Sus scrofa: one gene and its partner. The protein of the gene in region 1 interacts with the protein of each later gene in a pairwise test. Links are inferred from orthologs where the notes say so. Each region holds a gene or a part of one and is shown on either strand. Other genes may lie near its edges.

What was found. The genes of interacting proteins can lie anywhere in the genome.
Region 2: the proteins of CEP19 (region 1) and FGFR1OP interact in binary tests that used the Homo sapiens proteins (3 or more experiments, as listed by UniProt). The two-hybrid records come from large-scale screens. The link is inferred for Sus scrofa from reciprocal best matches to the Homo sapiens genes CEP19 and CEP43.

What each region holds. Positions count from the first base shown.
Region 1 is NC_010455.5:133,417,230-133,424,492, reverse strand, and holds the start of CEP19 (centrosomal protein of 19 kDa), read right to left. Parts: upstream 4,304-7,263; 5' UTR 3,791-4,303; coding exon 3,783-3,790; intron 328-3,782; exon of another isoform or gene 295-327; coding exon 128-294; intron 1-127. UniProt on the Homo sapiens protein: Required for ciliation. Recruits the RABL2B GTPase to the ciliary base to initiate ciliation.
Region 2 is NC_010443.5:2,116,349-2,123,682, reverse strand, and holds the start of FGFR1OP (FGFR1 oncogene partner), read left to right. Parts: upstream 1-2,850; 5' UTR 2,851-2,923; coding exon 2,924-3,025; intron 3,026-3,678; coding exon 3,679-3,732; intron 3,733-6,095; coding exon 6,096-6,150; intron 6,151-6,626; coding exon 6,627-6,715; intron 6,716-7,154; coding exon 7,155-7,292; intron 7,293-7,334. UniProt on the Homo sapiens protein: Required for anchoring microtubules to the centrosomes. Required for ciliation.

The sequences.
Region 1 (7,263 bases):
TCACGACTTGAACCTTGGTCTGTCTAACTCTGAAAGCCATGCTGCTCCACTACAGAAGACTCAAATCATTCTTATAAAGTGACTCAGGGAATATTTAAGGTAGGAGTCAAGATAAAACATAAGGTACCTGAAAACTTGGAAAAGTTTCGGACTGGCATAATGCGCTGGCGACTTTTCCCCTTCATTTCATTCTCATAGATTAAGATAATAGCCGGAGGCTGGAACCTAATTCCACATTTCTTGGCAGTGCACATCATCCTCACATACACTTCAGGGTAAATCAGAGGAAATCTGCTGAAAACGTATTAGTCACATAATGACTTCCTGCTAAAACGGAAAAAAAATAAGTGTTGGATAAATCCCACTCCCCCTTATTCTTCCTCCCCAGCAGATCTGACTCTTGTCCAGTTCTAGAGATGCCTGCTCAGCTCAAGCTCAGTACTTCAAGAGATACCTTGAAAGTTCAGTTTGGCTCCGGGTTATTCTTAGTCTGTAGAATCCCCGGTTCACTGAAGGGTGTAGGTTTGTTCACACATGAGCCTAGAAAGGCAGTTCAGTTTGGATCTTTTAGTGTATTTTTAACCCATAATTATGTATGAACCCAAGAATCAGTTTATAGAATCTTTTTCATTTACCAATTAAACATGTATGTACAAGCAGCCTCTATGTCAATCTTATACATTATGTCCTGAGAGGTTCACCAGACCAGACCTGTCTCCTTTGTCCTTTCCCCGTCATTCTAAAACTCATTGAGTTTTGGTAACTTTTTTTTTTTTTTTGTCTTCTTAGGGCTGCACCTGCGGCATATGGAGGTTCCCAGGCTAGGGGTTGAATGGGAGCTGTTGCTGTTGGCCTACACCACAGCCACAGTCACGCCAGATCTGAGCCGCATCTGCGACCTACACCATAGCTCACGGCAACACCGATCCTTAACCCACTGAGCAAGGCCAGGGATGGAAGCCGCGTCCTTATGGATGCTAGTCAGATTCATTTCCACTAAGCCATGATGGGAACTCTGGTAACTTATTTATTCACTTATCTTTTCCTTCTATTCTATATGCTCTATATGTTTAGGGGACATATCCATTGTTCACCACAATATGCTCAGCACAATGCCTGGACTACAGTAAGCAATCCATTCTTTAATTCAATATATAATGTAAGACACAGCCTGTACATCCTCTAAGTGTTAACAGTCTAGAAGCCTGATCAAAAAAGCAGACTTGATGCAGAATTAGCACATGTACAAGGGAATGAAGCTTACATGGCTTTTATGTCAACTTATTTTTCTCATTACACGATGTTTTCTTAGTTATAAGAAACAGCCATTTTAAAGGTTAATACATTCCATTCCCTCTTTCCTTCCCTGCTTTCAATGCCCATATATACTTAATTTTAGGAACTGCTTTAGATGTGACCATGATAGTCTCAGGAAGATCTGCAAATGTCAAAGAACCTAGAGGTAAAGCAGCACAGGGATGATATCTTCAAATTCAGTTCTATTAGAGAATTACTACAGGAACATAGTTATTTAATACCTGTTCATTGTAGGAAACTGGGGCAGGAGTGGGGAAGGGGAAGGAACATATAAAATAATCACCCTGATTCCTTCCAGTCTTTTTTCTAGGCATAGTTGTGCGTGTGTGTGTATTTAGCTACAATATGTTTTTTATATTATACCTATTTCCTGCCATTTAAATTTAACAGCTTATGTAATTTTGTCATTAAATGTCTTTCTAAAATGCAAATTTTTATGACTGCAGATGTTTTGTCCTATGGATATACCATAATCTCTATCATTCACCCCTTACTATTGGTCATGAGAATTTTTACTCTTAGGGTCAGAAAGAGGAAGACAAATACCATATGATATCACTTATATCCGGAATCTAATATATGGCACAAATGAACCTTTCCACAGAAAAGAAATTCATGGACTTGGAGAACAGACTTGTGGTTGCTGAGGGGGAAGGGGAGGGGGAAGGAGTGGGATGGACTGGGAATCTGGGATTCATAGATGCAAACTATTGCCTTTGGAATGGATCAGCAATGAGATCCTGCTGTATAGCACTGGGAATTATATCTAGTCACTTATGATGGAGCTTGATGGAGGATAATGTGAGAAAAAGAATGTGTATATGTAGGTGTGACTGCATCACTTTGTTGTATAGTTCCCATCATGGCACAGCGGAAACAAATCCGACTAGAATCATGAGGTTTTGGGTTCGGTCCCTGCCCTTGCTCAGTGGGTTAACGATCCAGCGTTGCAGTGAGCTCTGGTGTAGGTTGCAGACACGGCTTGGATCCAGAGTTGCTGTGGTTGTGGCATAGGCCAGCGGCTACAGCTCGGATTAGACCCCTAGCCTTGGAACCTCCATATGCTGTCTCGGCCCTAGAAAGGACAAAAAGAAAAAAAAAAAAAAAGAAAGAAATAAAATTGACAGAACACTATAAACCAGCTATAATGGAAAAAATAAAAAATCATTTAAAAAAAAGAATTTTCACTCTTAGGAAATGGATCATATATAAAAAACTGCTTTTTCAAATTATTGAGCTCTGCCTCTGATCTGACACAATGATCCCACTCCATCCCTTCTTTCTTCTTCTTCTTCTTTTTTTTTTTGTCTTTTGTCTTTTTAGGGCATCCACAGCACAATGGAGGTTTCCAGGCTAGGGGGTCTAATCGGAGCTGTTGCTGCCAGCCTACACCATAGCCACAGCAACCCCAGATTCGAGCCACGTCTGCAACCTACACCACAGTTCACCGCAATGCTGGATCCTTAACCCACTGAGCGAGGCCAGGGATCAAACCCACAACCTCATGGTTCCTAGTCGGATTCGTTTCCACTGTGCCACGATGGGAACTCCTCTTCTTCTTTTAAACAAATACTACTCCCAGTTCACCTCACTAAAATCTGTTCTGTTAGTAAATTTTCTGGGAGATCCTACTGAGCACAATATAAATTCCACACACTCAAGCAAGTAGCTATGTTAATAAATGATGGGAGTTCCTGTTGTAGCACAGCAGAAACAAATCTGACTAGTATCCATGAGGATGTTGTTCAATCCATGGCCTTATTCAGTGGGTTGAGGGTATGGTGTTGCCCTGAGCTATGCTGAAGTTCGCAGATCCTGAGTTGCTGTGGCTGTGGAGTAGGCCAGCAGCTGTAGCTCCGACTGGACCCCTACCCTGGGAACCTCCATATGCCGAGGGTGCAGCCCTAAAAGGACAAAAAAAAAAAAAAAAAGATGTATTCACATGATATTCAGTAATGTAGTTTTTTGACTATACTCTTTTCTTTTTACAATTAAACTTTTATTTTTACTAAGTAATGTTAGTATTCTGTTTAAACGTAATATAATTCCATAAGGCGTATAATAAAAAACTGTGGTCCTCTGCCCTTCCCCTCTCCAATAGGAAAATAGTTTCAATTCTTTTAAGCGTTTCTTCCAAAATTTATCTCCATATTTCTTAACAGCATGCTTACACTGCTATTTTCAGTTGTAGGTAATATCTTCTGACATCTTTTCCCTCTTTAAGACATCTGTCCTAGAGCTCTCTGTTCTGCTCCAATCTGCATTGGATACTCTCTACTTTGCTTATAGATTTAATCCATAAGACAAAGGACATATTTACTCAGCTCTTCTTCCTGGACATTAATCCCTTTCTCCAGGGATCAATGACGGGCAAAATCTTAACTTAAAAGTGTACGGGTTTTGCCATCAGGTAGACGACCCTCTTTCTACCCACGTCCCCATTAGGGCAAGGCTGATGTTCTTACCTACCCATAGAGACGTAGAGAAAGTGCGTCTTCTGCAGGCCAACGTCTAAAACCTCCGCAAGCAGGTTGTTTTCCCCAACCGCATTGCACAGAAGAGTTCTAAATTTAATTTTGAGGGCCGGGCAGAGCCTGGCGCTGCAGAAAGGCGACAGCCATAGCTCCAAAGACGTGACTGTAGGGTGAAATCCTCAGCAGGAGGACCGCATCCGCAAACACTTGCAAGTGGAGAAAGACGCAGAGAGCTCGGCTAGCCGACTAGCTGAACAACGTGCGGGAACCCGGGTCGGGCTGAGACCACCAAGAGATTCCCAAAGCAACAGCCCGGGCGCATGTCACGGCGCTTGCGCTGTTCCTCGCCCCGCCCCCAACCAGCAGGGCGAGGGCGTGGACGGCGAGGGGGCGGGGCCATTGCCTGCCGCGAGGCCGGAACTTTCGCGGGCCTAGGCTCCCGGGAGCCGAGCAAGAGCGGGACAGCAGGCGTGCGCGGAGGGAGTCTTCCGTTCAGGTCGCTAACTCTGTGACAGCGCGCTCTAGGAGCGGAGCAAGGCTTGTGTAGGTTCTCACGACCGCATTTGGTCCCCGAGCATTCTTCCCAGGTGCGCGTTTCCGGCGTCCTGGCTACCGCGGCTGTAGCCGGCCGGGCCGTGGCCTGGCTCTTCCTCTGGGAGGTGGCTGGGCTCACCTCTGCAGACCCAGTCTTCAGCACGGCCCCCACCGACGCTGGTAAATGGAGGGGCGGGGCTTCGGGGTGGGGGGCGGGATTTAGGGCTGAGCGGGTAGGGAGCAGGCTGAGATCCGGTGTCCTCTCCTTTCCACGGTTGCAGAGGTATTTCACTTTCCCCTGGCTCGCGACACTAGAACTGTAGGTTGAGCTGCACAAAGTTAAAAACAAAGGTCACAAGCAGCTGCAGCGTAGGTGGCAACTATGGCTCGGATCTGATCCCTGGCGGGGCGGCCAAAAAAAAAAAAAGCGAAAGAGGCCGAAATCCTCTTGCCTATCCGCTGCCCCGATTGCGTGGCTTCTGGTTCTCTAGAGAGTCAGGCTTTGGCGTTCTGAAACGGGACTGGCCTCACTATTACTAAAACATTGTACAGGTAGTACCGTCGTGAAGCGTCTTAATGCTCTTGGGATGCATGAAGCTTCTGACCACCAGGGGACCAGCAAGGGCCTCAGTGTGAGAATCCCAATCTAGAATTATAGAGGTTCGCGAGGCGTGGAAAGGGGAGGACAACTAGCTTCGTTTTAAAAACATTTTACTGATAGACCGTATTGGGCTGGGGTGTCTTTCTGATTCAGGGCTGGGTTAAGCGAGTTGATACCCTTCTTTGGGCCCAAGTCCGTGGGCAGGAGCTCTGTGCTAGGTGCTGTGTATCCAGCCCTTGCGGAGCTTGCAGTGTAGTAGGGAAAATGGATATGTGCAGTAGTAATTACAATAAAGGGATGACGTTTGATAGAGAAAGTCAGTAAAAACCAGGTGAGTTCTCCATCAGTAAAAGGAAAGTGTTAGATTAGTACCTGTCAGTCAGTGCAGTTCTGCTCTTTTGTTTGTTTGTTTGTTTGTCTTTTTAGGACTGCACTGGCAGCATATGGAAGTTCCCAGGCTAGGGTCGAACCTGAGCTGCAGCCGCTGGCCTACACTGCAGCCACAGCAACGTGGGATCCTACCTGCGTCTGGAACCTACACCACAGCTCATGGCAACACCGGATCCTTAACCCACTGAGCTCGGCCAGGGACCAAACCCAAATCCTCATTGGTACTAGTCAGGTTCCTTAACCCCTGAGCCACGATGGGAACTCCCCAGTTCTACTTTTTTGTGTTTCCATATTAAGTCCCAAATTTATTTGAAGAGAGGATTATTAGGCCCAAAAGAATTTTTAAACACTCGACTTACTGATATCTAAAAGGCTCTTCCAACAATGGCATTTTGTGATTAAAAATGGGTCATTTTGGGGAGTTCTGGTCGTGGCGCAGTGCAGATGAATCCGACTAGGAACAGTGAGGTTTCCGGTTTGATCCCTGGTCTTGCTCAGTGGGATAAGGATCCGGTGTTGCTGTGAGCTGTGGTATAGGTTGCAGACGAGGCTCGGATCCCACGTTGCTGTGGCTCTGGCGTAAGCCGGTGGCTACAGCTCCGATTCCACCCCTAGCCTGAGAACCTCCATATGCCACGGGTGTGGGGTGTGGCCCTAAAAAATAAATAAAAATGAGTCAATTTTCAGAGCCAGTTTAGGCCACAATAACCAAGTAATATATTTAAATTTTTTTAAATCAAAGTATCATTGATTTATAATGTGCCAGTATCTCTCAGTGGTTAATGAATCCGACTAGGAACCATGAGATTGCGATCCTTGGCTTTGCTCAGTGGGTTAAGGATCTGGTGTTTCTGTGAGTTGTGGTGTAGGCCGGCGGCTACAGCTCTGATTAGACCCCTAGCCTGGGAACCTCCATATACCGCAGGTATGGCCCTAGAAATGGCAAAAAGACCAAAAAAATTTTTATATATATATATATTTCATATATGTATATATATGTAATTTTACATCATGGTCTGTCCCAGGAGATTGCATATAGTTCCCTGTGCTATACAGGAGGACCTTATTGTCTATTCATTCCAAATGTAGTAATTTGCATCTATTAACCCTAAACTCCCAGTCCATCCCACTTCCTCTCCCCAAGTAAAGTAATATTTAAGAGGAAAAAATCTTGAAGGTGAATTCGGATGCAACAAATTGATTTTGAAAATGGTACTTTTGCCTTAAAAATCATAAATAATCTAGTGTTTGCTCTACTGTTTGTAAGTTAGCTTTTCTACCACGACAAGATGAATGAGATTTACTATTCTCTAGTGTATATTCCAATAGAATTTAATCCTGTTAATCTGACCTTTATTTCCAGTATAATTTATAGGGAGATGTGAGCCCTTACCACTTCCATTAAAATTAAACATTGAGGAGTTCCCATTGTGGCTTAGTGGATTAAGGACCTGATGTTTCTGTGAGGATGCTGGTTCAATCCCTGGCTTTACTCAGTAGGTTAAGGATCTGGCATTGCTGCAAGCTGCAATGTAGTTCACAGATGCAGCTCAGATCCAGTGTTGTCATGGCTGTGGCCTCAGCTGCAGCTCTGATTTGACCACTGGAAACTTCCATTACGTTGCAATAAATAAATAAATAATAAACAAACAAACATTGAAGAAACATGGATTTATGCAAGAGATATTCTTATATAAAGTTATTTGGGAAAAGATGGTGTATGATTCTCCAAAGCAATTAAGGATTTCTTTAAATAGCTAGGAGAGTGGAAATATCTTAGGCTTTAAAAGTCAGGCAAATCTTGTTTCTAATCAGTCACTTTACCTAGTTTTATGATCTAGACAGTCAGTAACTGTTTATAAGTCAGAGTTTCCTCCTATGTACAAATGGCAATAATTTGTTTGCCTATTTTGCTAGGTTGTGAAAGTTAAAATACATATGAAAGCC
Region 2 (7,334 bases), on another chromosome or scaffold:
ACCTTAGTGACTTAGAAATGAGGCGGAGAGCCGTAGTTGAGCTGAAAGCGGAGCTCTAGGTGCAGATCTAGAAAAGCCTACGGATTTCTGCTCTGTGACTGACTGCCCCCGAGTTCCCTCGGCCCCCAGCCCTCAGATCAGATCCCCGCGTGTTATTTTAAATCACAAGACTCTGTGCAAGAGGTAAATCCTCACAGCTGAGGAGACGGGGCTCGGCAAAGTCAGTGGCCTGAGAATGAACAAATACTGTAAATTCTCAGTCTCAGGAAACCCACCCAAGGCGAATGTGCTGGTAAATGTTTCACGACTGGCTCTCTGTTTTTCTGTTTTTTGTTTTTTTAAAGCCCTAATTTATAGTAATTGGCCATCTCCTAGCATTTCCTCCTGCAGTCGACTTCAAGCTACCAATGGGATAGCATGGAATGTGATAGCTGGTGGTCATATGCTCCCTGCAGCATTTTATATCATTAAAAGAAAGGGGGAGAGTTCCCGCTGTGGCACAGCAGGTTAAGGATCTGGCATTGTCTCTTCAGCAGCTCGGTCACTGCTGAGGATGTGGGTTTGATCCCTGGCCCAGCGCAGTGGGTTAAGGAGCTGGCATTGCTGCTGCTGTGGTGTAAGTCACAGCGGCTGCTTGGATTCGGTCTCTGGCGCGGAAACTTCCATATGCCCTGGGTGCGGCCATAAAACACCACCACCAACACCCACAAAAAACAAAAGAACTCCACAGTCTTCACAATTACCTCGGCCCCATCTCCCGCAGTGCTAGAGAGACGGCACAAGCCCGTGACAACCCCTCCCCCCACGCGTGCCCCTCCCGCTTGGCTACAATCACAAAGCCGTGGCGCCATTCCATTCCGGGTTACTGCCCCCTGCCCACTGCCTAGGGTGGGTCCCTGCTGCCACCTGGCTGGTGAGTGACCCGGTTCCAGAACCCCACGCCTGGGTCGGCTTCATAGATCCAATCTGGGGCGACTGCCTTAGTCTGCGTGTCGCAGACGCACAGCCCAAGGTAAGGGCTGGAATGCAGCTTACTGGGGAGAGGATTCTGGAAAATGCCAGCCGAGGAAGGTGACCACGCCAGGAGGGGAACTAATGAAGACTGGGTTCCCAAGCAGGTTCCTCTTTAACTGGCGCTCAAACCGGAAGCACTAAAAGCTAGTGGAGAACACACCTTGGACGCACGTCCTGTCCCAGGGGTTCCCACGCATTGTTGCAGGTGCTCTGGGGAGATACACATTCCGGGGCTCTTCAGGTCCGCCCCAAACGCGGGCAGAGCGGCCTCTGGTGGTTGGAAAACGCCATGGCAGGCAAATCATCTCGGGCGCCGACAGCTGCAGGCTGGCCCAGCTGCAGCAAAGGTTCTGTTTGAAGGGCATAGGGGCTCTGCCGACAGAACTGTTACAGAGGGTCTCCTAATATTGTGAATGCTGCTGATTGCTTTTCAATCCGCTACAACGTTTGCAAGGTGCAATTACCCTTGCAGAGGAGATTTTCATAGTATAAAGATAAAACTCTAACAACATGGGGGAGTGAGAGAATATAAGTACGCCAATTTCCTCATCGCTCATTGCGGGGAGCCAGCAGGTAAGAGGTACTTTTATAAATAATGATTCAGATAAAGTCACAAAATTTTCCCCCGTTGGAACTAAAAGTAATGTAATTTTTAAACTTAGGAGTTGAAAGAGAAAATATATTCTTACCCTTTGAAAAGATACTGTTCGTGGTTGACGGGTCAGGACGTACATCATTTACAGCTATAATGAAAAGAACCAGAAGACCTAGAAAGAAATTGTAGTTGGGTCTACAATACGCAGGTGATAGGTGAGTAGGTAGGGTGGACACAGAGACTTTTAATGTTTCTCCCTTCTGTTTGGATTTTTAACCATTGGTATGAGTTACTTCCACAACAAACAAAACAAAGGCAAATGAGACATGGTCTAATTACAAAAAAAACAACAACAAAAAAACAACTTTCAAACACCCTTTAATGGAATATTACCCAGAAGTTAAAAAGAATGAGGCTCAATCTATAAATATATACATCAAAAGACGTTATAGAAACTCAGTAAGCATAGGCTCCAAATTAGGAGAGTGGAAAAAGTACTTGCGTGTATGTAACGTATCTATGTATAAGGTTGTCTGGAAAGACCTATACCAATTTGAACAGATGCTGCCTGTGGAGGAGGAGATGGGCTGGTCAGGACACCTCGACTTTTACTTTCTTACTTGACAAATAGCATTTGTATCTCACGAGAATCTGCAGACCACCCGTATTCCCTGAGAAAATGATTCCTTAAGACCCGCTACAGACCCACGGAGTGAGAGTCCCGGGGAATTCTAGAATCTGTATTTTCTCCTTTAAGGTAGTTGTGAAACCCCTCACCTTCCCCGTTATTGCAAAACTGTGCGAGCACACAGAGTGTGAAGAACAGCACAACGGCATACTGCATATACCCTTCACTGCGCCGCACCGTGTGAATGTGCCCTCTCGATGAGCGTGCACACCTGCACACACACGCACGTAAGCACATGCCTCTCAGTAAGCGTGCACACCTGTACTCACACATTTCGGCCGCACCTTGGAAAGCAGTAGCAGACTCAGGACCTTGCCCCGGATTCCAGCACGCGCGTCCACAGCAGCAGCCTGCAGGCACACCTGAAACACTTCAAACACCTCTCTTTACCCAACCTCCGCGGCCCGGCCCGGCGCGGATCCCCAGAACCGCGGGTTCACCGCCCACGCCTCTGAAGATCCCGCCCCCGAGGCCCCGCCCACCTGGCGGCGTCCCGAGGCCCCGCCCCGACGGGGGCGGGCCGCGCGCCAGCGTCGGGGGCGTGGTCTCGGCTGCGTGCCTACGCGCCGTGCGGGCTGCGGCGTCGGCCGTTGGCGCGGCTTGGGCGGTTGTCTTGGAGAAGCAAGATGGCGGCGACGGCGGCCGCGGTGGTGGCGGAGGAGGACACCGAGCTGCGGGACCTGCTGGTGCAGACGCTGGAGAACAGCGGGGTCCTGAACCGCATCAAGGTAGGGCGGGAGACCGGGGCCCGGAGGAGGGGAGGCCGGCCGCGCTTGCGGGCCGCGGGGCCTTTGTGGACGGCGAGCATCACAAAGGGGCGCGGGGCGCGTCGGCAGTACCGCCGGGGCTGAGGTCCGAGCCCGCGGGCTCCCTCGGAGCGGTCCACGCGGGGTCAAGGGTCACTCCCGGGGAGCCTCACGGCCCGGCCAGCCTTAGTCGGAGGAGGCCGACCCCGGCGTCCAGTCCCCGGCTGCCCCCACCCCGTCCCCACACGGCGTCCGGGGGTCCAGTCCCCGGCTGCCCCCCGCCCCCGGCGTCCGGGGGTCCAACGCCGCATGCTCCCTGGCTCTTCCCCGCCTTTGGTCTCAGCTGTCGGGCGGCGAGCGTCTCCACCTGTAAATGGACTTACAGAGCGTAAACCAGAGAGGTGGGTGCTGAGAGACACCCCAGGGCAGGATGGGGGACTTGGGAACCACAGGTCCCTTTCTTCACGGCGTCTCAGGACGCTTTCCGACGTGTCTGTGCACCTGCCGACTAAGCACTATCAACCTGCCCCTTTTCGTTTTGAGTTTTGAAATTGCCGCGTGTGCGCTTCTTGTTATGAAAATTGCCTTGATAATTTTTGTTCCTTTCCTCACCGCACCTCCCTCCCTTTTCAAAGGCCGAACTCCGAGCTGCTGTGTTTTTAGCACTAGAGGAGCAGGAAAAAGTAGAGGTATGAAATCGACAAATCGTAATGACTGTGTTCCTTTATGGTTAATTTCTTTTTCTTTTTTTTTTTTTTTTTTGTCTTTTTTGTTGTTGTTGTTGTTGTTGTTGTTGTTGCTATTTCTTGGGCCGCTCCCTCGGCATATGGAGGTTCCCAGGCCAGGGGTTGAATCGGAGCTGTAGCCACCGGCCTACGCCAGAGCCACAGCAACGCGGGATCCGAGCCACGTCTGCAACCTACACCACAGCTCAGGGCAACGCCGGATCGTTAACCCACTGAGCAAGGGCAGGGACCTAACCCTCAACCTCGTGGTTCCTCGTCGGATTCGTTAACCACTGCGCCACGACGGGAACTCCTATGGTTAATTTCTAATTGCCCAAAAACCATTCTAAATGTTGTGTATAGTGGGGCATAGCCAAGGATGATTTTGAACTTTAGTGTTGGGAGAGAGTCAAGATTATTCTCTCTTCGTGTATATTTTAGAGTTTGGGGGTAAAGAAAGTTAAGGCCGGTGCTAAATTTCATAGGTCCCTCTCCGCTGGGGACATCTGAAACACAGGTTAAAGCAGGAAGAAAAGGTTTCATTGTCAACAAGTTTACCGCAGGATCGGTCAGAACCTTTAACCTGCCCATATGCCTGCGAATCCCCACCAGGTGGAGGGGGTAGGAGGCAGCTTTCCCCCAGGTTATCTGGCCCCTGAGTTATTTTATTTTACTTATTTATTTATTTTTGTCTTTTTGCCTTTTCTAGGGCTGCTCCCGCTGCATATGGAGGTTCCCAGGCTAGGGGTCTAATCGGAGCTGTAGCTGCCGGCCTACGCCAGAGCCACAGCAACGCAGGATCCTTAACCCACTGAGGGAGGCCAGGGATTGAACCCGAAACCACATGGTTCCTAGTCAGATTCGTTAACCACTGTGCCACGACGGGAACTCCCTGAGTTATTTTAAAATCATGTCATTTTGGAAGTTCTCTTGTGGTGAAGTGGGCTCAGGATCCAGCATTGTCACCGCAGTGGCTCAGGTCACTGCCTTGGCGTGGGTTTTATCCTTGGCCTGGGAACTTCCACATGCCTCAGGCACTGCCTCCTCCCCTCAAAATCTTGTAGTCTTTTCTTGGGTCACAGGTCCAGTCACTTCTCTGTTTACAGGTGTATTTAGTGTTTCTCTCTGTGGCAGGTCTACCACTGTCTGAGTAAAACCCCCGGCCTGTTGGCAACTGCGTGGTCAAGGCCTCGCTTTCCCCTGACAGCTCAGTGTCTTCTCCTCACTTTGGACTCCGGTTCCCCTTTACCTTCCTGAAGGCCTTCAGTTCTTGCCTCTTCTGTCTTTGTCCTCGCTGAGCTGCCCTTGTTCTTAGCTGATCTGGACCCCGTGGTCCGGGTCTCAGGGGCCCTCACTGCCTTGCCCTTCGCCATGCTTGGTCTGAGGACAGTCTCAGGGGTCCCTGCGCTCAGCAGATGAGCTCCCTCCCCGTCTGGAGCGGCTGAGGCCCCCCCGGGGGGGGGTGCTTCCCACCCCGGGAGGCCCTGGGCCTTCCCACCGGCCTCCCGCCTCAGCCGCTTCCTGCCCTCTGACGGACGCACCTGTGACGGACGCACCTGTCTGTCCCTCCCGAGGAAGATGGAAGCAGCAGGTGTGAACCCTTCCCGCAGGCTGTCCCTCCCCTCGGAGGAAGCGCCCCTGCACCCGGCTCCTCTCCTCCTCCTCCCTTCCTGCGCAGGAGGCCTCCCTCTCTCTGGGCTTGGCCTCCGGAGTGCTCCTGTCATGCCTCTGCCACCGCCTGTGACCCGGGCCTCCCCTTTTTGCCGGCTCTGCTCTTGGGCCTGGAAACAAGTTAACTGCTCGCTCCAGGAGGAAGCTGGTTCCGACTCCAGTTCGGCTTTTGGTGCCTTTCTCGCTTTTTCCCTCATGGGCTCCTCTGGAGAGAGTGTCTGCCTTGTGTTCCAGGCACCAGGCGCCCTCTAATTCATTGACATCTTTTTTTTTTTTTTTTCTTTTTAGGGCCACACCTGCAGCATGTGGAAGTTCCCAGGCTAGGGGTCAAGTTGGCACCGCAGCTGCCAGCTGCGCCTCGGGGATGCTCCTCGGCTTGTTTCCGCTGTGCCACTGACTCTGTGACTCCTATGCCTCAGTGGTGTCTTTTGCTGCTGCCGGGAAGACGCGCCTGATGGAGTGTATCTTCATCCTGTCCTGCCTCAGGCCTCAGCACAAAATAGTTCCTGTCGTAATCAGTAGTTGCAGGGTGGGTTTAACCATAGGGGTAGTGTTTTACCTAATATCTTCACCAGAAAATTAAACTTTAATGTACATTTTATAGTGGTTTTTAGGATAAACATATAACGCTTACAGCGTTTCATTTTTTTTAACAGAACAAAACTCCTTTAGTCAATGAGAGCCTGAAAAAGTTTTTAAATACAAAAGACGGTAAGATGTTTGTTGTTATTTTTGTCTGTCTCTGAATTTTCAAATCTTGCCTCCATTTGGGAGAAATCAGGCATTCCAGATTGCCTTTCGAAGTCTGCGATGCTTTCAGGTTCTTATATTAAGTCGTATTTTATTGTACAACTGTTGAGTCGCCATTGCGTATCAGTGTTACTGGAAATTGTTGGTTAAAGCCAATTTTACTGTGAAACTGATGTTATTATAAAGAGCGAAACCCTAGTTCATTTAGGAAATGTCAGATTGTCGTACTAACACTTCCAGACTGATGATCCTAATGAGAGAATCAGGAGACTGAAATTTTCATTACTTAATTGTATTATTCAAAGAGAAGAAATGTGTGATTTTAAGCGTTGAGAAGCTTCTCTTCTCCTTTTGCTTTGGTTATTTTCCGTCCCACTGTCAGCGAGGAGGCCTCGGGGCCTCAAGACCCCCTCCCACCTCCCTTCTCCTCTTTGCAGGCCGGCTGGTGGCTAGTCTCGTGGCGGAATTTCTTCAGTTTTTTAACCTTGACTTTACCTTGGCTGTTTTTCAACCTGAAACCAGCACGGTAAGAATGATGCCTTTTCCATCTCTCTTTGAAACCGTCTTTGATGCAGATGAGTCCATTGTAAGCGGAACAGTGACAAAATTTGATAACTTAGAGTGTCTTTCATAAAGATTATTTTTACAGTCGATTATCTGTTTCTCAAAACCTGCCTGTGCTGTCCGACAGCTGGCACCAGTGTCCCTGCTTCAGGGGGCTTGACACAGGTGTCGTCGTCGCGTTCACCTGTTCTGACGTTAGTCGACTTGCGCTGCAGACTTTGAATGCAGGGACTCGTCGAGAAAACATGCACTTTTTAAAGATAGACGTTTCCTTGCCGGGAATGCGGGCCTCTTTGGGTTTAGAGATGTCTTTAAGTTCGGGAGAGATTTTTCTTTGATCTGTGAAAATAATGTTGCTGTATTTTGTGCACTGACCCTCTCCCATCTTACCTCTTTCACAGTTTCAGGGTCTGGAAGGTCGAGAGAACATAGCCCGGGATTTAGGTATTATTGAAGCAGAAGGTACTGTGGGTGGACCCTTGTTGTTAGAGGTGATCAGACGCTGTCAGCAGAAAGAAAAAGGGCCAAGCAGCGGGGAGGTAAGTTCAGCCCTTTGCTACCTCTCTGCTCCTCAGTCGTTG